Linked DNA regions of Stegostoma tigrinum. The protein of the gene in region 2 interacts with the protein of the main gene of each other region in a biochemical or structural test. Links are inferred from orthologs where the notes say so. Each region holds a gene or a part of one and is shown on either strand. Other genes may lie near its edges. The genes, in order: bcl10, card11 and prkcq.

Region 1 (7,731 bases), on a different chromosome or scaffold from region 2:
ACTGGCGTACACGTGACAATAAAAGAATATTCAATTCTATTCTACAATCCATTGTGATTGTATCGAATGGTGGAGCAGGGTCAAAGGGCCAAAAGATCTAATCTTGCTCCTATTTTCTATGTTTCTATACAAATAATTATCAAATTCTGACAGTGCTGCATGAGATGTTAGGTCAAGCAAATTAAAGTTTGTTCAAAAGAGATCAGTTTTAAAGATTCGAAGCAGGTAGAAGAGAGAGCGAGAGAAAAAGAGAGGGTTTTGTGGAGGGAATTCTGGAGTTCAGGGCCTCAGCAGCATAAGGCAGCAATGGTGAAGCAATTAAAACAGCAGCTTTGCAGTGAGGATTGTCAAACTGCAAAGGATTACAAGATACAAACAAGAAACAAGGACATGGACAGACAGGAAAACAAAGAGAGAACTTTACATACGAAGAAAATGTTTCTCCAAGGTCAGCATTAGAAGAAGAGAATAAAAATTAAACACAACACAGTTAAAAATGTCAAATTTTCTATTTGCAAATGGCATGCATAATTTTAAAATACATTCTCGATTTTAAAGTTCTCTTCTCGATTATCATCTTGCAGGGAGGGGTCTTTCACAGCCAGTGTTAACTCCAATTTCTGCATACAGTGTCAATGTGCCTCTAACCCACAGACACCCAGGCTAGTTTAATTCAAGAGCTAAAAGATCTGACGCTGCTGAACATCATGTGACACTTCCAAAAAAAACTGTTTCCAAGAAACATTACTGCAAAATAAAATAAAGCTGAAACCCCAGTGCAGAAGGAACTTAGTGTCAGCAATTAGACCTTTCGTAACATTGATCAGAGAAAGGTGACACTGAGTTCAGTCACATTGTGGAGTCTCTCTCAGCCCAAAAGCTACACCCTTGCATTGTCCATGTATCAGATACCTCCCAGTTCTCAGCTGGGCCTTTCCCCACTGCCCAGGTGTACCTGTGCCGAGGTGAGCCAATCCACGCTGCTCTAGTTGCACCAGCATTAGTGCCCAGGTGTACATATCCAGGTGTACCCGCTCCCCAGTTACACCGCCCTCAGTGCCCAGGTGTACCTGCTCCCCAGTTACACCGACCTCAGTGCCCAGGTGTACCTGCTCCCCAGTTACACCGACCTCAGTGCCCAGGTGTACCCGCTCCCCAGTTACACCGACCTCAGTGCCCAGGTGTACCCGCTCCCCAGTTACACCGACCTCAGTGCCCAGGTGTACCTGCTCCCCAGTTACACCGACCTCAGTGCCCAGGTGTACCCGCTCCCCAGTTACACCGACTTCAGTGCCCAGGCGTACCTGCGCCCCAGTTACACCGACTTCAGTGCCCAGGCGTACCCGCTCCCCAGTTACACCAACCTCAGTGCCCAGGTGTACCCATGCCCCAGTTACACCAACCTCAGTGCCCAGGTGTACCTGCTCCCCAGTTACACCGACCTCAGTGCCCAGGTGTACCCGCTCCCCAGTTACACCGACCTCAGTGCCCAGGTGTACCCGCTCCCCAGTTACACCGACCTCAGTGCCCAGGCGTACCTGCGCCCCAGTTACACCGACTTCAGTGCCCAGGTGTACCCGCTCCCCAGTTACACCAACCTCAGTGCCCAGGTGTACCCATGCCCCAGTTACACCGACCTCAGTGCCCAGGTGTACCTGCTCCCCAGTTACACCGACCTCAGTGCCCAGGTGTACCCGCTCCCCAGTTACACCGACCTCAGTGCCCAGGTGTACCCGCGCCCCAGTTACACCGACCTCAGTGCCCAGGTGTACCCGCTCCCCAGTTACACCGACCTCAGTGCCCAGGTGTACCTGCTCCCCAGTTACACCAACCTCAGTGCCCAGGTGTACCCATGCCCCAGTTACACCAACCTCAGTGCCCAGGTGTACCTGCTCCCCAGTTACACCGACCTCAGTGCCCAGGTGTACCCGCTCCCCAGTTACACCGACCTCAGTGCCCAGGTGTACCCGCTCCCCAGTTACACCGACCTCAGTGCCCAGGTGTACCCGCTCCCCAGTTACACCGACCTCAGTGCCCAGGTGTACCCGCTCCCCAGTTACACCTACCTCAGTGTCCAGGTGTACCTGCTCCCCAGTTACACCAACCTCAGTGCCCAGGTGTACCCGCTCCCCAGTTACACCGACCTCAGTGCCCAGGTGTACCCGCTCCCCAGTTACACCGACTTCAGTGCCCAGGCGTACCTGCGCCCCAGTTACACCGACTTCAGTGCCCAGGTGTACCCGCTCCCCAGTTACACCAACCTCAGTGCCCAGGTGTACCCATGCCCCAGTTACACCGACCTCAGTGCCCAGGTGTACCCGCTCCCCAGTTACACCGGTCTCAGTGCCCAGGTGTACCCATGCCCCAGTTACACCAACCTCAGTGCCCAGGTGTACCTGCTCCCCAGTTACACCAACCTCAGTGCCCAGGTGTACCCGCGCCCTAGTTACACCGGCCTCAGTGCCCAGGTGTACCCGTGCCCCAGTTACACCGGCCTCAGTGCCCAGGTGTACCCACACTGCAGTGTCCAAGGTACAGCTTCCATCCTGGGCAGAGCAGCTCGGTGCCCCAGTGTGCCCACTAGCCTCAGACCTACTCACTTGTCCTGCCCTGTAAGGGGGCAGGTGAGCACCAGAGACTGGGGCAAAAGAAAACCCGTTCCCCTTTCACATTTCGCTCAAACAGCGGCAACAAACTTACTTCCTTTTTTATTTCAGCCATTTCGTCCTCGGTGAGCTGCGCAGCCTCCATGGGTGTGGGTGCCAGGAGGGGAGCCCTGCAGTTTCTCTGTGCCCGGGTGTGAGGGGGGTGGGGGCTTCCCCTGGGTAGTGCCAATGCCGGGGATCACGGAGCCGGGCCGGAGTTACGTGCAGCAACTTTTACATGTTTGCATTGTTGGACTGTACACTTTCTTCCTGGTTTTCCTTCTGAGCAGACACACACTCTCTGAAGGTTGTAAAGTCTAACCAATTACAACTTCCGTCCCTCCGCTAACACTGACGTAAAGCACGTTTAGCGAAACTCTGACTGAGAGGAATTAGCTATTATGCGGAAGTTCACTGTACCTTCACATTATGGCTGGATAACCCAGCCCCAGCTTTTACTGCAACGTCTCTTTTCGCCCAAAACACTCTCATTGGCTGAAAAAAAATTCCCTTTTCTGCCCTGTTGTAAAATTGGACCTTTAAGTGATTGCGATTAAGAACAGTTGCATTAAAAAGTTTCATATGTGGATATTCAGCCCATCTAATCATCCCTGGGCAAGTCTGCTGGCATTTTACTACCTCTCCTCCAGTGGTCCCCAGCATTACAGAAACCCGTCTTCGATTCACTCCATGTGGTATCAAGAAACGGTTGGAGACACTGGATGCTGCAAAGGCTACAGGCCCTGACAACATTCCGGCAATAATACTGAAGACTTGTGCTCCAGAACTTGCCGCTCCCCTGGCCAAGCTGTCCCTGAACAGCTACAACACGGGTATCTACCTGACAGTGTGGAAACTTGCTCAAGTATGTCCTGTACACAAAAAGCAGGACAAATCCAACCCGGCCAATTACTACCCCATCAGTCTCCTCTCGACCATCAGTAAAGTGATGGAAGGTGTCAGTAACAGAGCTACCAAGCAGCACCTACTCAGTAATAACCTGCACAGTGACACTCAGTTTGGGTTCTGCCAGGGCCACTCAGCTCCTGACCCCATTACAGCCTTGGCTCAAACATGGATAAAAGAGCTGAATCCCAGAGGTGAGGTGAGAGTGACAGCCCCTGACATCAAGGCTGCATTTGACCAAGTGTGGCATCAAGGAGCCCTGGCAAAACTGCAATCAGTGGGTATCAGGGGGCAAACTCTCCGGTGGTTGGGGTCACACCTGACGCAATGTTCAGCACCATTCATGATTCATCAGATACTGAAACAGTCCATGTCCAAACGCAATGAGATCTGGACAATATCCAGACTTGTGTTGACAAGTGGCAAGTGACATTTGCATCATACAAATGCCAGACTAACTCATCACTAATAAGAGACAATCTAACCACTGCCCCTTGACATTCAAGGGTGTTACCCTCACAGAATCCCCCACTATCAGCATCCTGGGTGTAATCATAGACCAGAAGCTCCACAGGACTCACCACATAAACACAGTGGCTACAAGAGCAGGTCAGACGCTAGAAATCTAGCAACAAATAACACAAATCTTGACTCCCCAAAGCCTGCCCACCATCTGCAAGGTGTAAGTCAGGAGTGTGATGGAATACTCCCCACTTGCCTGGATGGGTGCAGCCTCAACAACACTCAAGAAGCTTCACACTATTCAAGACGAACCACATCCACAAGCATCCACTCCCTCCAACCCTCAGTAGCAGCAGTGTGTACTATCTACAAGATGCACTGCAGAAATTCACCAAAGATCCTCCCACAGCACCTTCTGAACCCACGACCACTTCCATCTTGAAGAACACCAAGATTGGTGGTGTAGTAGACAGTGAAGAACGTTATCTAAGATTACAAAGGGATCTCAATCAACTGGGCCAATGGGCTGAGGAATGGTGTATATTCAATCTGGATAAATGCAATGTGTTGCATTTTAATACAACAAACAAGAGTAGGGCTTATACAATTAATGATAGGACTTATGTAATGTTGTAGAACAGAAGAACCTAGAAGTGCAGGCACATAATGATTTGAAACTTGTGTCAGAGTAGACAGGGTGATTAAAAAAGCATTTAGCAGGCTTGCCTTCATTGTTCAGACTTTTGAGCAGAGGAGTTGGGACATCATGTTGAGGTTGTACAAATGGTGGTGAGGCCTCTCATGGAGTACTGTGTCCATTTCTGATTGTCCAGTTGCAGGAAGGGTACTAATAAGCTGGGGAGGGCTCAGAAGAGATTTGCCAGGATGCTAGATAACACGGTGTGAAGCTGGATGAACACGGCAGGCCAAGCAGCATCAGAAGAGCAGGAAAGCTGACGTTTTGGGTCAAGACCCTTGTTCAGGAACATCAGCCTTCCTGCTCCTCTGGTGCTGCTTGGCCTGCTGTGTTCATCCAGCTCTACACCGTGTTACCTCAGATTCTCCAGCATCTGCAGTTCCTGTCATCTTTGCCAGGATGTTGCTGGGTATGGAAGGTTTCAGTTACAAAGAAAGACTGGATAGGCTGGGATTTTTTTCACTAGAGCATAGGAGGTTGGAGAGGTGACCTGACAGATATTGTAGCTTTCGTGGTCAACACTATCTGTGGAATGTTTTCCATTAAAAGGAACCGTTGCTGCCTAATGATTCTTGAACAATTTTCTGGACTCACTACTCACTGGTACTTAGACTGTTTGTTCTAGATTCACACCATCTTTTGACTAAAGAAATCAGTTACCAATTTGTCTGAGAGGCCAAAGGACAATTCAACTCAATTGAGGCCTTGTTATAACTTTGCATAACTGCATAGTTCAGATTGTGCTTCCAGGTCATTCATGAAACTATCTGCAGACTCTCCTGGGAGTTGATATCTGATGTTGAAGTATTTTATTTATTCTTGGAATGAAATACCGATCAAAAGCTATTGCGGGGTTGTCAAGTGTAATTTGCTTATTCACTAGTCTGTTGTCAGTGCAGCACGTGATCTGATGTTCTTCCCATTTGTTCCCCATTTGATTTAGTGTCCAATCCAGAAGTGGGCTTTCCACACTCGCCAATTTACTAAGCTGGGTCTGAAAGTTTAAGTCTTTCTGATGAGAAAATTGGTGAATTTTATTGCTAGACACTTGAAATTGTTGATTATTTCTTGGTTTAGAAGGATATTGGACTTTGAACATTATTTTGTGTTCTTGCAGCTTTCTTAGTTGATTAAAGTTGTTGACGGTTTGATGTTGTAAAGGTTGTAAAACTGAAAGCCGTTGAAGTTTCCATTGATCTAAATATTGGTTTCAATATATCTCGTTTGCCTTTACCAATATGGCGTCCGCATGGGTATGAAGATGTACTTTTTCCAGGATTGCCATAGGATATCCAAAAGATCTGTGGGTAGAACTTTCCCAAGATGGCTTCACTCATCAAGAAGCAATGAATTTTTTGACTCTGTCCAAGATGGCTACCTTGCCATGGTTCAAGCTGATCTTTGCTGTATCCAAGGTATTTTCATGCTCACTTTGATACCACTTGATCATGTTTGCACTCTTGAATTAAAACCAATAATTTCACTGTTACCACTTTGATAATCCAAACTGTGATAATGATTCTTATCTCTGATTTCTATTTTCTTTTTCAATCACTTTTTCTTTAAGCCTTTACCTGAAGAATTATTTCATCTTGCTGTTGATAACTTTCTTGACAAGCAAATAGTTCAAAAGTTTGTTAATTCACTACAAAATATCTTTGCCCCATATTCCCAAGTCTAGGTGTCAAGTTGGAAACATAACGTTTTCTCCATTCCTTTGTGAGATCGATTCTGTTTCGGTGTGCTGTAAACAGCCGGTATTAGTGAGTGGTTGCATGAATCTGCTTAATGGCTTATTGCCTTTTACCATTCTCACCATTTTGTATTGGCTTGTTTTCCCCATTACTGATTGTAAAATGCTTCTTGAGACCCACAACATTCCTGTGGTTTCTCTGGAGGAGTTTTTTTATTCAGAGATATTTCCAAACTCTATCGCAGCTGTTTAGCTCCATGGATTTTCTGGTGTCTAGGTGGTTTTAAAGATGTATAGATGATTTCTCTAAAACAATTCACTCCTTCTCCAGATGACCTCTGTTCGATTTCTTTAACTCCACTGCCGTCTCTGCAGTGAATCCTGTTCCTATCACCATCTATCATCATGACATTTTTTTAGTAGGGAGGATTGTAATGTTTAACTTTTTAAATTTGTTTTCCTTATTTTTCTGCTTTGTACCAAAGATTCCATACCTAGGTATCTTTGTACATAAGGTGGTGCCCGAAATGGTGACTTGTAAACTTTTCACTATACTCATGTGACAATAAAGATCATTTTCAATTTTCAGTTTCCAATTTGAGACGACACTGTGAGTTGGATTCATGTCAGGCTGGCTGAGGAGAAGACAAAATCATGTGCTGTCTTCAGCCTTAAACTTCGAAGTAACACTACTAATTTTACATTAATATTATTCACATACTTGGTAATCATGGATAACCAGGGTTTGATATTATGGTTACACTAGGGAAGGAGTAATTTATCTTATCAGTGTGTTCATATCCACATATTGTCGAGACTGTCTCTCATTCTAGTGTGTTCTAACTCTGCCCACACTGCACTCTTTCTGCTCGGCAATCTGCATTTCTGTGACATCATCATATTATTGCTCCAGGTTCCTGAGGCTCAGGCACAACAAAGACCAATTGGTCCATGAGCCTGCTGCAATGTCCATTAAGATCATTGCTGATCTTCAACATTCACTCTCCTGCCCAGCACGGAACCCTGGCCTCAGGGTAGGGCCCTCAGTGTGGACCCCCAGCCTCAGGGTGGGAACCCCAGCGCAGACCCCCGGCCTGGGGGTGGGGCATCCAGTATGGACCCCCAGCCTCAGGGTGGAACCCCCAGCACGGACCCCCAGTGCAGACGCCCAGCCTCAGGGTGGGACCCCCAGCGCAGACTCCCAGTGCAGACGCCCAGCCTCAGGGTGGGACCCCCAGCACGGACCCCCAGTGCAGACGCCCAGCCTCAGGGTGGGACCCCCAGCGCAGACTCCCAGCCTCGGGGTCGGACCCCCAGCGCGGACCCCC
Region 2 (6,960 bases):
AAATCGGGGCAGTGGCACAGCGACAGAATGCAGCAAAATGCTGTCAGAAAGATGTCGGTTGACTATGCAGACATATCACTGGTGAAATTCAGGTTGCTAAATGTGCATCAAAATAATCTCAGACACATATACAGTGAATGGAACTGAATTAGAAGAAGGATGGACTAGGAGGGAGCTTGGGAATAATAGTAAAAATATCATTTTCAACATTTAGGTAATGCAATGAAGTAATTTAAAGGTGAGAGAATTACATTTCCAGAACTATGCTGAGATTTTACAATACATTCTTTAGACTTAGAATACTGTATTCGATGCTGCAACAATGATAGTGTGACAAATGCACAAAAAACTTGGTAGATTTACAATTTTTGAAGCCCAGGTTCAGGTGAATCTTTTCAATAATTCAAAACAAAAGTGGAAAGAAATTATTTAGACTTTGCAAAACAGGAACATCTTTCAATTAAGACTCACACTAGCTATTGATGGCAATTTGGAAAAATTGCATTTTAACCCTTGATATTTTAGGCACCTGTGAAGTGAACATTGTTGTTCAGATAAGTTAACTGTCCAAAAAGTAAACTTGACTTTCTGAGTTGGAAGCATTTGCTGCCGAGGAGCACCGTAGAGCCTCTGGAAGATTGTAAGAATTTCTCTTTACAGTATTCCGGGCAGCATTTGCTTTTTTAGAACAAAAATCCTTAATGAAATAATCACCACCTAAACAGCCACTTGGGCTAGAAAGTTAACCTTATTGTGAAGATTGTAATTTTGGACACAAGTGAAATTGGAAAGCTGACTGTCCTTGTTGCTGCACATTCTAGATGTTTGTGTATTTTTAATTGCTGCCTTTTCATTTTAGTATCAACTATTGAGGTTTCACTTTTAAATTTAAAAATAAACATTCGTTTTGAAGAAAATGAAGTCCAGTGTGTAATATGTGCAAGTTTGAGTCAATGAGATACTGTTGGAATGCTACAAATCCCGCTTGTAATTATTGCTGCAAAAACATGATAATCTTTTATTCTTAGCCACTTAACTTACGGTGCACATGAGAAAAATCAGGAAATCCACTGCTTTTTTATAAGCAGCCAGAAGAACATAAAAAATAGAATGTGTCAGCCATCTTGCCTTCCAGGTCTGCTTCATCTTTCAACATGATCAAAGCTGATTATCTACCTGAAGTTCAGTAACTGCTAAAAGGGAAAAGGGCTGCCCCTAAAGATTGCATTAGGCTGTGTATGGAGAACAGTCATATTTCAATTCGAGTGCAAAGAGAATGAGCTTTGAAGAAAGATTAGGGAAGTTTAGCTTTACAGTTTGAAAAGAAAATCTCTCTGTCTGGGGAACACAATGAAGATATTAAATATGGTATCAAAAATGTAAAATTCTAATTAAGCCATGTAAACCCAAAGTAAGTTAGTAGTTATTTTAAGAGCTAGTAAAAAAAAAATCTTTCAAAAAATATATATAACAAGGTGTAGAGCTGGATGAACACAGAAGGCGAAGCAGCATCAGAGGTGCAGGAAAGCTGACCTTTAGGGTCTAGGCCTGAAACGTTAGCTTTCCTGCTCCTCTGATGCTGCTTCCCCTGCTGTGTTCATCTAGCTCTACACCTTGTTGTATCAGATTCTCCGGCATCAGCAGTTCCTACTGTCTCCATTCAAAAAATATTGATGTCCAGAAGAATTTATCAAAGGTGTTAATTTGGGCAACAATATTAGAGATATTTAGTTGTCTAATTAATTGTCTTGATGGGCGAATCATTACACCTGAGCGTTGAATTCTAATTGTTTTAGCTGACTTTTCTGCTTAGTCTGTGATGGTTTTTCTGTTGGTAAATTACGTTGTAAGCAATCATAGTGCTGTAGTGCATTGAGGGTTCCCATCATGGTTTTCAGGGAATTGATTGGCAGTAAAACTGAAGAACATCTGTGCACGATTAACCTAGTGCTTTGGGTAAATGGTTCACCCGAAAAGGAAACGGTCATGGCCTGGAAAGGGAATGAACTGGGTGTTGGGGTTTTGTGGTATTGTCTATAAGAAAGATCTCATTGATTTCTCTTGGAGATAGTGATGAACTTACATTTTGAGGACAGGGCAGGGCAAGCATGAAGAATCTGTTGGAAGATGGGATGCACTGTGGTCTAACAATGACCAGCAGTTTTCCCTTTGTTGCTACAAAATGGATTAATTGAAAATAGCAGATCGGAGCAGGAGTTTGCTATTTGGTCCTTTCAGTCTGCCCAGTTTTCAGTATAATCATGGCTGATTATCCAAGTCAGTACCCTGTTCTTAATTCATCTTGCTTTCTCTCTTTCCCTTCAATTTTTTAAAGTTCTAATTAACTAAGTAACTTATTTGTGAAAACATTCAATGCTTTGGGCTCTACTGCTTTCTGTGGCAGAGAATTCCACATGGTCATCACTATCTGGACGAAGAAACATCTCCTGATCTGAGTCATAAATTGGAAGATTCTGAAGAAGGTTCACTGGACCTGAAACGGTAACTCTGTCTTTTTCCTTCACTGATGCTGCCAGATCTGCTGAACCTCTCCAGCAATTTTGTTCTTTCGGTTTTTACTCAGTTCTAAATTGCCTATTTTGTATCCTTAAGATTGTGACTGCTGGTTCTGGACTCCCCAGTCACTTCTTGTGTCGGTACACATAGCAAAACGCCAAGGAAGCACAAATGATAGAGAAGTGACATCGACGCAGGGTGGATGGTAAGGTAGGTCTGAATCGTCGAAAATAGGTTGGCTCTGCTAAGAACAATTTCATTCAAACAAAACACGGCATAGTGATGGATTAACGAGAAATCCCGCTCTCGAAAACGACTGAAGGTACTCTGATAAAGTCACCTGTAGTGGAAACGTTAAGTCCGCTTTCTCCACGCAGATGCTGCCAGACCTGCTAAGATTCGCCAGTAAATTCTACAATTTTTTCAGATTACCTGCATTTGCAGTTCTTTGTTTTATTTAAGGATTCAATGAAGAACTTGACCATTAAAGACAAGAAGCTGTGCAAACCCAATTTTCTGTCTTGGAAATTTCTTCTTTGGAACCAATCAATAGCCCCTCTCATTTCGTCCTCCTATTGGTTGGTCAGGGCTCCAGTGAAGAGACCAGTGACCGGAGACAGATGGTCGCCTGTTTCATTACCAATGGAAAGCCAGCACCTATCAACGAATTGATCAATCACAGCAGCGATCGCATTCCATCCAATCGGAACTGAGAACCCTGTCCAGATATCAGCGAATCAGCGAGCGGTGGTGCAGAATTCGGCCAATCAGCCGGAAGAGATTTTCTCCTGGTGGAATGTTGACGAATCAGATCGCAGGTTGTGGTTGCTGGCGTTGACCAATCAGAGGCGCGCTCGAGCTTCAGCTCGAGCCGAAAGAGTGCGGTCCGTCGACAGGAAAAGGCGGCGGGGAAGAAGGAAATCGCAAACTGCCGTTACAAGGTAGTTCAAAGCAAGAGGGAAATCTGTTGGAAAGTCATCGGACGAGGGGCGTTCACCTCAGAATTTAATTTCAGGTCTCTTGCAGGGTTCAAAGTTGTTGAAGATTATGTTTTTTTTTATAAAACATATTAGGCGTACTAATGTAACTCTAAATCAGTGTGTGTGTGTGTGTGTGTGTGGCGAACGCCCCTGGTCTCGCGCCGCTGTCAGATATAAGTTCAAACTTTGCCAAGCGCAGTTCATCCAATTGGAGAATGCATGTAATTTGTTCAAGTAAAGTTTGAAAGCTGTTTCAGTTATGAGTTGAAACTTTCACAGACTCATCATTTTCAGGTTTGGGAATTTTATCCCGTCTCCACTTAGGTGATAAAACCAAACAACCATTCAAGTGATAATCATTTGCTCTTTTTAAAAAAAGCGTTGGAGTTAATTATCAACCAGGTATTGCAGGCGGCTGGCTGGAAGTTGAGATCATTGCTGTTTGGTGCCTCCTCGGTGTACATTGGAAAGTAACAGACGAAATTAAAAAATAAGGAAAACGAGGATTGGGAAGAAAACGCTTCCCTTTATTTACACCTCTGCTTTCTCATCCCAGGGGTGAAGGCAGCTTGTCGGAACGGAGTGACGCTGTTCCCGCTGAGGAAATCCGGGCTTTGGGAAGAGGGACCGATCCAAACCCTCTACAAGGAAAGCGGCGATCATTAGCAGGCTGCGAAAGATTGAACCAAACCCGATCTCCTCTCTAGGGCAACCAGCCAAAATAACACAATTTAACCAGCGGCTTGGAGGAGACCTTCATTCAGTCTAATATATTTCATTGAAAATATACCAAAGCGTATCGATTGTTAGGGAGCGACCTGATTGCACTAATCGAGGCGATCAACAGATGATGGGAGACGCGAGTTTTGGGCTGGTCGATGCTCAGGTCATCGCTGTGTTACTCATTGATGTTGATGCGTATCCAGAGGTGATCTGTACTCGAGGGGCTAGCAGCAAGGGCCCGCAAACGTTGATCAGTAATTCTAGCAGCAGGAAAAGACCGCACTCTGGGGCTACTAGCCATGAACTAATTGTAAACCCAGCGACATCTGTAATCAATCATCCGAAAGATCGATGCCAAAGGAAAGCCTTGCAGGGACCGATCGGGAGCCTTTACCCAAGCGGACTCACTAAGCAGAGATCGATCCAGCGTTCGAATGCCCACCATAATCAGTTGATCGAAATTGCCAAAGAAATCGGGAATACGGACTACTCAATCAATAACCAAAGGGCGATGAAGCAACGGCCTTGTTTGAAAGGTGTTTTCGATAACCAGATTGAAAACCGAAGTGATGAAATTAATGTATTGATTAGGGGACCGAAATCGGGAGTATTCCGAAGAACAGCTGGATTTGTTAGTGCGAGAGGAAACTTTAATTTGTTTGGATGTTTTGGGCGAATGTGGATGTTAGCTCTCTTTTATATCCACGTGCTACAGACCCTGGCTCAAGGTAAGATTAAGTTCTACATTACAGGAGTCGAAACACCTTCAAAGTGGGAACAAATTATGTTTTTGCTTATGCAAATCTTCCAAGTGATGTGAAGGAGAGATTAAAGTCCAACATTTGTGTTGTGCTTTAAGTGCGGACACAAACGCTACCATATTTTTCAACTGTCGTATGGTTTCTTTGCAACATGCTTGTTAATCAAATGGTATTTTGCAAGCTGTACGGTACGCAAAGGGTTACATTTGAATATTGTCTGCTATCAGCTCTCATAGCTTTACTTTCCAAGCTGACTTTGTAGTATTAAGGAACAATTATCCGATGGTGAGTCAATTAATGAGACAGCGTGCGTTTTGCTTTTTATTTTTTTTGCCGTGGGAACAAACCAAAGAGTTGCACTTCTATTGGGCAGTGTAAATAAGCACTTGTGCCAGTTTCATTTTCCATCACAGAATTGCAACGCGAAGTAGAAGCCTAATGTACGTACTACTTTCTCAACCCGAGGTAATCCCTTACTCTCTTTTTTAAAAAAAAACACGAAACCACTGCGGATGCTGTAAATCAGGAACAAAAACAAAGTTGCTGGTAAAGTTCAGCAGGTCTGGCAGCATCTGTGAAGGAAAAAAAATCAGTTAAGGTTTCGGGTCCGTTGACCTTTTCTCGGACCCCTGAAGCTTTCTGGCGACTTTGTTTTTGCTCTCGCTTTCCATATTGCATTATGGATTATTTGTTAATTGAAACAAGCTTACTTTATTCAGCATATAAGCAAACTCTGATTTAGCTAACAGACAAGATAATGCAAACAACACTTTCTGTACCATTGTCCGTGCGTTCGAGTAAGTATTTGAAACGCGATTGTTTTACCCAATGAATGAACTGATATTTGCTCTCTTTATGGTGGGATGCCGAAGTTCTTTGCTTGAGCGATGCGCCGTCATACATCATAAACAGTGCCGCGTTTGTTCTGGTGCCAGCGATCTCAATTGGATTAGTATCCCAATGTAAAAACTTGTATTCATTCCAAATAAAGGGCTTTTATGTTGCACTCCTGTCCCTATGTTTAAACTTTTTAAAAACTGACTTCTATTAAGATTGAATTAGCTGTCTTAATCTAATTTCGTTTGAGTAGCATCAATATCTGTTGTTTCATACACCTATTTTATAATTGATTTTTGTTTTGAAATTTATTCTCCACATTTCCCTTGCAGAATAGTTTAAAGTAGTGAAAGGATTCATAAACTGAGTAGCATCTGACTCATGACATTATGGTTTCCTTCACAGCAGTAACCGTTTTTTCCAATGTGTATCAGCTGATAAGTGGTTAGTCCTATGGGACAAAACGGTTTTATAAGCTGCCGTAGACTGCACAGAGGCAGGATACCCACACCTGCCAGACATGAAGATCCCACTGGATGTCATTGTGGAGTTGTGAGTTGGAGCTTCAATGTCCCACTTGCTGGGATTATATCTCTGTGCTGAAACACTGTGTACTTTATAATTCTAAATTGGGAATGGCATCATTAAGCTGAAGGCTCAAACCATTTGTCCTGTTGCTATTAAAGGAAAATTGATTATGGGAAAAAATATAAGTTTTTCAGTTGTACTTCATTCAAAGTACAGTGTAGTTGGAACTTCAGGTTGTATTTTGTGGTAATTATTTTTTGATTGTAAATCCCCAGTGGGAATGAGATTAGTCACGTGCCATCTTGGATTTTAAACAAAAAGATGTTCTTTAGTAATCTGAACACTTTTGTTACCTTATGTCAAGAATGAGAGGATATTACAGCAAATGTTTAGCTGTTAAGCCCATCAAGTCAATGCCATTTTTTTACCAACCTCTTTCTTCAGCGATTTGTGTGCACTTTTGGAATACTTCCCATTGTCAGTCTACTATTTGACATTAACAGAGATCAATTACAAAATCATAAGTCTGTTAGTCTTTTTACGTGGAAATTAGAGCACTAAAATAATTATAGGGACAGATGTAGTTGGGAAGTATGAATTTGTAAAAGGTAGTT
Region 3 (7,978 bases), on a different chromosome or scaffold from region 2:
TGTTTCCTCTTGTGGAAAAATCTAGAACCAGGAGTTATTGTTTAACAATAAGGGGCACCCACTTAAAATAGGGATAAAGGGAAAAAAAATTTCCCTCAGAAGTTTACAAGTTTCATGAATTCCCTTCCTCAAAGCACAGTAGATGCAGAACCTTTAAGTATTTTTAAGGCAGTGATAGATCTTTTCTTGATGACCAAGGGTTGAAAGATTATTGGTGGTACGCAGAGACGAAAAGTTGAGGTTCAAATCAGATGTGTCATGATCCTTTTGAATGGGCAGCAGACTCGAGGGGCTGAGTGGCCTACTCATGTTCATTGTTTGTACTTAAAGTTGACCAGGGACAAGGACTGGATGAAATGTATCTGAGATTTTTGAAGGAAGTGAGAGTGAAATTCCAGAGGTACTGGTCAAAACAGAATTCCTTAAACTGAGATTGCTGGTGGACTGGAGAACTGCAAACATAGAACTATACAGTACAGAAGAGGCCCTTCAGCACATTGAGTCTGCAATGACAAAAATCTTCTGTAACTCTACACTTAGTCCCACTTCCCAGAACTTCCATGTACTAGCATTCCAAGTGCTCATCCAAGTACTTATTAAAGGTTCTGACATTTCACACCTGAAGTACCCTCTGAGGCATTGCATTCCACACCCTCAACATCCTCTGGGTGAAAATATTTTTCTTGAAATCCCCTCTCAATCTCCAACCTTTAGCCTCTAGCCTAACATTATGCCTCCTTATTATTGACTCTTCAACTAAGAGTAATAGCTGTTTCCTATCCAACCATGCCAATGCCCCCAAACCACACCCCCCTCCCATAATCTTAAACTCTGGCCCCCTCTTAACCTTCTTTGCTACAAAGGAAACAACTCGAGCTTATCTAGCCTCTCTTCAGAGGTAAATTGCTCCACTCTGGTGAATCTATCGTGTGGTGACCAGAAATGCACACCGTGCTCCAGCTGTGACCCAACCAAAGGCGAGAGAGAGCACAGAAGAGATTGATAAGAATGGCTTCAAGGATGAAATACAGGGCTGGGACGCCCTGCCAACCCAAGCCCCTCAACGCCCCCAACCTGACTCTTCTAAACTGCCAACCTTGCCACCTGCCTCTGCCCGAAACCTCTGACACCCCCAACACTACCCGACATCCATAAATAACGTGCTGACCTCTAACTCATTTACCTTCCAATGTACCCTTCCCTATCCCCTCATCATTCACCTGCCCACTGCCTTCCATTCCCCTCACCACTTCCCCCTTCTCCTGCTGCCTCCCTACCACCACACCACTCTCCCAACTCCCAATCCCATCACCACCCCCCGCCACCTACCCTTCTCCCGCTGCCTCCCTACCACCACACCGCTCAGCCAACTCCCAATCCCCTCACCACTCCTCTGCCACCTACCCTTCTCCCGCTGCCTCCCTACCACCACACCGCTCAGCCAACTCCCAATCCCCTCACCACTCCTCTGCCACCTACCCTTCTCCCGCTGCCTCCCTACCACCACACCGCTCAGCCAACTCCCAATCCCCTCACCACTCCTCTGCCACCTACCCTTCTCCCGCTGCCTGCTTACCTACATCATCCACTCACCTTTCACACCTGCCCACTATCCAAAGCTTTTCGATGAGGATTTGGACATCAAAATGTTTCACTTTAGTCACACAATAGTTGACGTTCTAAAAAGGGGTGTGGCTTCCCTTCCCATGATGGTGCTACACTATAAGGATCCTGGATGTGAGTTTGCTCGCTGAGCTGGAAGGTTCGTTTTCAGATGTTTCGTCACCATTCTAGGTAACATCATCAGTGAGCCTCTGGCGAAGCGCTGGTGTTATGTCCCGCTTTCTATTTATCTGGTTAGGTTTCCTTGGGTTGATGATGTCATTTCCTGCATTGGTGATGTCACTTCCTGTTCTTTTTTTTATGGGGATGGTAGATTGATTTGGAGCCAATGTGTTTGTTGATGGAGTTCCGGTTGGCATGCCATGCTTCTAGGAATTCTCGTGCGTGTCTCTGTTTGGCCTATCCTAGGATGGATGTGTTGTCCCAATCAAAGTGGTGTCCTTCCTCATCTGTATGTAAGGATACGAGTGATAGTGGGTACAGATGAGGAAGGACACCACTTTGATTGGGACAACACATCCATCCTAGGACAAGCCAAACAGAGACACGCACGAGAATTCCTAGAAGCATGGCATTCCAACCGGAACTCCATCAACAAACACATTGATTTGGAGCCAATCTACCATGCCCTGGGAAAAAGAACAGGAAGTGACATCACCAACGCAGGAAATGACATCACCAACCCAAGGAAACCTAACCAGATAAATAGAAAGCAGGACATAACACCAGCGCTTCGTCGGAGGCTCACTGATGATCTTACCTAGAATGGTGACGAAACGTCTGAAAACTAACCTTCCAGCTCAGCGAGCAAACTCACATCCAGAACCTCAACCTGAACTACAAATCTTCTCAAAACTCGCTAACTATATGGATCCAGCCAGATTAAAGCTATGCTTCCCATTTCTGGAGTATCTGTTTTCAGAACCCAGGCCCAGCAATGTGAGTCTACAGATAGAGTAACAAAGTAGCAACCTGACAGGGATCAATCTCCCCAAAGATTTCGACCAGAATCATGTCTCCCTTACTGTTCTTGAATCAATATCCTGGAACACTCTCCTTTCATAGCAGCGTGAATGTATCATACACCACCTTAGGAAAGATAATGGCCTTGTGGTACTAATGCTAGACTGTTAATCTAGAAATGCAGCCAAATTTCTGCGGAACTGGGTTCAAATCCTAACATGACAAATGGCGAAATTTGTAATTCAATAAAGAAACCGCAATTCAGAGTCTAATGATGACTACGAATTGTCACGAAAAACCCACCTGGCTTATTAATGTCATTCAGGGAAGGAATTCTGCCATCCTTACCTGGTCTGGCCTACATGTGACTGCAGACCCACAGCAATGTGGTGACTCTTAACTGCCCCCTGGGCAAATAGGGATGGGGCAATAAACACTGGCCTACACAGCGACGCCCATATTCCATGAATGAATTAAAACAACCGTAGACTGCAATGAGACTGAGACCCAAGAAAGCTCGACCACCAGTCTGACTCTGCCGTCTGCTGTCGGGAGGCTAAAGGAAATTTTTTTGACTATGCGGTTGCTGTGGCTAGTCTGTAAATGTACTTTGTACTTGATGCATATGGTGAAATAGTGCAGATAGCTGTAACAGTTTTATCTGATGCACTATTGCTACTAATGTGGAAGTTTGTTTTTAAGTAGTTTCCATCCTTACATGCACAGGCCCTCAGAAAATGATTGCTGGGCAGCAGTCCTTTATTATTTGGAACACGGCTATACTGTAATTACAAAGGGACCTTTATTCCCTCCAGCCTGTCCTGGCCCAGGTAGATTCAGCACTTGATAGCTCCCCAAGCAAGATTCCTTTAGCACTTTAAACACCTCAGTCAGATCATTCCTGATCCTTAACTTAAATAAGTACAAACCAGGTTTGTGCATCCTGCTGTTATCATTGTAACCTTTTAAAAACCGGTCCAATTTCGGTATGGAAGGCCTCCACTTGTGTCTGAGGCATTAGGATTTAACTAGATGCTCCAGTCCTGTCTATGCTGCCCAGCTGATCACCTCATGCCTGGTAGTGGTCAGGTTCCAAAAAGAGAACCACACACTGACCTCATAAACTCCAGAGTTATCTCCTACAAAACAGCCATAAGACCCTGCTGCTTTAAGGTTAATCTCTTCAAAACATTCTGATTCATGATGGATTGGCAAATCACTCCACTCCATTGGCCTCATGAAGTCCCAGGTTATTTCGCAAGAGACTGGGTCAATTAAATGTTCAGAACTGAGTGCGATCCATCGCAGGATGAGCAGCAAAGGTGAGAAAATGACTCCTGACTGAAGCAAAATTCACTTTCGCTCTGAGTATCTGAAGGACTGAGATTCCACTGTGTTTAACAAACATAATGATGTGCTTGAAATTCATCCATGCACTCTTTCAACAGGGATCTGACTTTTCTTAGTGGCTAATACTTTTGATAAAATACTGGGTAAAATTACCCTGTGTGAACAGGCAGGCAAGAATATTAAGCACCACATTAATGAATTTGTCTTGAGCATTTTCTTTTGCCAATTTCCCACACCCCTGACACCTCACGCACCCCTCTCCCACCCAACACCAGACAATACTTTCAAAAAAAAAGTGAAATCGTGAAAGGGATCAGTCACCTTAAATAAAAACCACAAGAACTGCGGACGCTGTCAATCAGGAACAAAAGCAAAGTTGCTGGAAAAGCTCAGCAGGCCTGGCAGCATCTGTGAAGGAAAAAACAGAGTTAATGTTTCGGGTCCGGTGACCCTTCCTCAGAACTGTCCCCGGACCTGAAAAGTTAACTCTGTTTTTTCCTTCACAGTTGTTGCCTGACCTGCTGAGCTTTTCCAGCAGCTTCCGTTCTTGTTCAGTCATCTTAACATGGCCAGGTCTAAAATCCTAAACTATATATTTTTTTCCGATTCTCTTTGTGTTGCTCTAAATGCTGGGGGAGGGTATAAACCTTTCTGAGTTAAGTTTCTATGGTTGAAACTATCCCATTTCTGAAATATGACTGTCCTGGATGCTGTGACATTCAGTGGGAGGGTGAAGCGAACCCCACTTCCTTCTCTCTGGGTGCTCTCCAGTTTATGGCATGACTCCTCCTCCCTTGTGACACATGAGACTGCTTGGCCCAGCTTCTTTTTTTATCTCACTTGTCCTCACAGAGAAGGAAGTAAGTTAGCAGTTGGTTCCGATGAGCTATTGGTTCCTGTCAGACCCTCTCTTTGTCGCCTATGAGGCTTGATGATTTGGTTGTTCCTTAGCCTAACTCCAATTGTTCATGATGTTATACCAAGGTCTGACTGTCAAGATTTCCGAAATGGCTCCTTTCCTTCGGATTGGCTTCTCCAACTTTGACATCGGTCTGTGCCCACAAGCCGAGGATGTCCAGAACCCTTACTGCGCTGTCATTGTGAAAGAACCAGTAGACACAGGTAAAGCCGTGACTTATCAAATCATCCGCTGATATTGTGCTTTCACCTTTCTGAATGTTACATTAAACTTAAGTTGTGTGTTTATATGATAACCCACCAATTACTACAAGCGAATAATGCAGTTAGCAATGTGTTACAATCTCACTTGTCTGGCATCCTGGATTATTTGCAGAAGCTGCTGCGTGTGGCAGGGTTTCACACAGCAATGTTTATCTAAGGCAGTTGTTTGCATAACAATGCCAATTTCAGGATGGTCTCTGCTCAAAGAATTGCAGACCTGAGCTGTTCTCCCAGCTCCACATAGCATTCCTACTCAGAGGAAGTGTGAGTCGACACCTATGTGTGTCTCTAACATATACAGAGGTCCACAGATAACAGAAATTGGCTTTGAATGTGCCTCACACCACCTTTTCAAACTGGCTTCCTCAATAGCAGTGGTTATACTGTAGCCTGTGTAAAACTGAAAGCCGTGTTCCAAATAATAAGAGCTGAATTCAGCTCTTGTAGGTGATCTCACATTGCTGTTAGTTTGAAATGAATTTGCAACCCGAATGATGTTACAAACTGTATCAATTCAGAAAATAAATTGCTTTGCACATTTATAAATGACTACAGCAGAGCTACATGGTGAAAAAGGTGTAATATTCTGACAAAGGCCTTGATCTTGCTTTCAATGAATTAATACTTTCATTACAGCAACACACAAAAGGATTTTACACTGATGTACTTCTTACTAGTGCCATACAGAACAATTTGCATCTGGTAATGTTGACAGCTAATGAGTTCTGACATTTCTTCACTCTCAGTAGGAATACCGCTGACTGCCTCACTCAGTTTTACGTGAAGGAAAAAAACAGAGTTCATGTTTCAGGTCCGATGACCCTTCCTCAGAACTGAGTTATAATAAGTGTTATAATAAGTTATAATAAATGAGTTTAATAAAGTTTTTGGTCGCTTGTTTTTCAATCAAAGAAAACAACATAAAACTGAAAAATGAAAGAACTGCAGATGCTGTAAATCAGGAAACAAAACAGAAGTTGCCTGAAAAGCTCAACAGGTCTGGCAGCATCAGTGAAGTTCATGTTTTGGATCCGTTGACCCTTCCTCAGAACTCCGAAACATGACCTCTATTTTTTCCTTCACTGATGCTGCCAGACCTGCTGAGCTTTCCCAGCAACTTCTGTTTTGTTTTATTAAATTTTGAGTATGAAGGACAGAGTATCAGATGGGATATGTTGTGGGAACTCTTGAATTGAATTATTTTTGTGTAACGGGACCTCCAGCAGAAAGGGGTGGTGGTGAGGGAGGGCAGCTAGAGCAGACTTGTGATAGAAAGACAGGTTGTGTTTGGCACAGAGAGGGATGATAGGGGAGGCAGACCACTTAAAGACATTCCTCAGCCCAGTGTCGCCACAATAGTCATTCCATGCATGTGGCATAAATAGCTCAGTGTTCACCCTTCATTTCCCTTCCTGTTTGCAATGCTTTGATGCCAGTAGATTAAAGTATCCCCGCTTCATGATCCTTGGGCTGTAAATGTGTTCAAATCTTACGGAACATTTGTATGAGCTCGCTCCCAGTTTAGCACATTGAGTAGAAGTGTCCCCACAACCACAAACTGCCTGAAACATTTGTACCTATCTTCACTGCTGGGGATAAAATAAAGTGAAGAACTGCAAATGCTGGAGATCTGAAACAAAAGGAGAAATTAACTGTAGAAACTCAGCAGGTCTGGCAGCATCTGTGGGAAGAAATCAGAATTAATGTTTTGAGTCTGATGAAGAATTGCTGGGCTCAAAATGTTAACTCTGTTTTCTTCCCACTTGCTAAGACCTGCTGAGTTTCTACAGCAATTTCAGGTTATGGTTCTCTGGCAGGAGTCCTGAATCATCTTCAGAGATTGAAAAACCTGAGAAGTTTTTGGTTTCACATTTGTAAATGTTTCATTCTGTAACATATTAACTGAAGATGGCTGAATAATTTCTCCCAGGGAAGTTTTATTGAATGTTTAGATTTGAGGTCAGTATATAAACCCTGAAATCACAATGGGCACAGGTGCAAACTCAGCTTTAGCAAGGGCCTGAATATTCTGCTTAATAAATAATGACAAATAGATTTATAGCAGATTAATCAAACTAATATTTATGTCAGTCTTCACTGTACAAGACACAAGTAATATCTCAGAAACAGCTGTATGCCAGGAAATGGGAGAAAGGGTAATGTTGTAACTATGGACTTACAAATCCCTGGGTCCTGATGGACTTCGTTCTATGTCTTAAAAGAAATGACCTGTGAAATAGTTGTTGCATTGGTTTTAATTTTCCTGGATTGGGGGAATATTCCTTTAGATTGAAAAGCAATGAATGTAAGCATGCAGTATAGTGAATACAACTCCTTTATTCAAAAAGGGATTCAGAATGAAGAAAACGGTGGGCTCGACATCTGACATAAGGAAGATATTAGAAGCTGTTATGAAAAATGTTCAGCAGAGTTCTTAGAAAATTAGAAATGTTTAAGATAATCAGGCTGATTGAATATGATTTTAGAGTCAACATTTTGTGAAAGGCAAATCATATTTAACCAATTTACTGGAGTTCCTTAAGGAAGCGCCATGTTCTCAATAAATTAAACATAGATAACACAATGTGGAGCTAGAGGAACACAGCAAGCCAGGCAGCATCAGGGGAGCAGGAAAGCTGATGTTTCGGGTCTGTGCTATCTCTGATTCCAGCATCGGCAGTTCTTACTATCTCAAAGATTTTAAACATAAATGGGTTGTTTTTGGTTTTGGAAATAGTATGCCACAGGAATGAGTGCTAAATTTGCTGACGGCATACAGGTAGATCAGAAAGTATGCCATCAAGAGGACATAAGGAGGTTACAAAGGGACATAGATAATTGAAGTGAATGGGCAAATATC

What was found.
Region 1: the proteins of card11 (region 2) and bcl10 form a complex in vitro, tested with the Homo sapiens proteins (2 studies listed by BioGRID, with this or other methods). The link is inferred for Stegostoma tigrinum from reciprocal best matches to the Homo sapiens genes CARD11 and BCL10.
Region 3: of the proteins of card11 (region 2) and prkcq, one has a biochemical effect on the other in vitro, tested with the Homo sapiens proteins (2 studies listed by BioGRID). The link is inferred for Stegostoma tigrinum from reciprocal best matches to the Homo sapiens genes CARD11 and PRKCQ.

What each region holds. Positions count from the first base shown.
Region 1 is NC_081361.1:99,959,460-99,967,190, forward strand, and holds the start of bcl10 (B-cell lymphoma/leukemia 10), read right to left. Parts: upstream 3,016-7,731; 5' UTR 2,752-3,015; coding exon 2,701-2,751; intron 1-2,700. UniProt on the Homo sapiens protein: Plays a key role in both adaptive and innate immune signaling by bridging CARD domain-containing proteins to immune activation.
Region 2 is NC_081376.1:13,754,970-13,761,929, reverse strand, and holds the start of card11 (caspase recruitment domain-containing protein 11), read right to left. Parts: upstream 3,081-6,960; coding exon 2,950-3,080; intron 1-2,949. Other genes in the region: sdk1a (protein sidekick-1), read left to right, coding at 4,345-4,948. UniProt on the Homo sapiens protein: Adapter protein that plays a key role in adaptive immune response by transducing the activation of NF-kappa-B downstream of T-cell receptor (TCR) and B-cell receptor (BCR) engagement.
Region 3 is NC_081378.1:6,292,513-6,300,490, reverse strand, and holds the start of prkcq (protein kinase C theta type), read left to right. Parts: upstream 1-4,907; coding exon 4,908-5,058; intron 5,059-7,978. UniProt on the Homo sapiens protein: Calcium-independent, phospholipid- and diacylglycerol (DAG)-dependent serine/threonine-protein kinase that mediates non-redundant functions in T-cell receptor (TCR) signaling, including T-cells activation, proliferation, differentiation and survival, by mediating activation of multiple transcription factors such as NF-kappa-B, JUN, NFATC1 and NFATC2.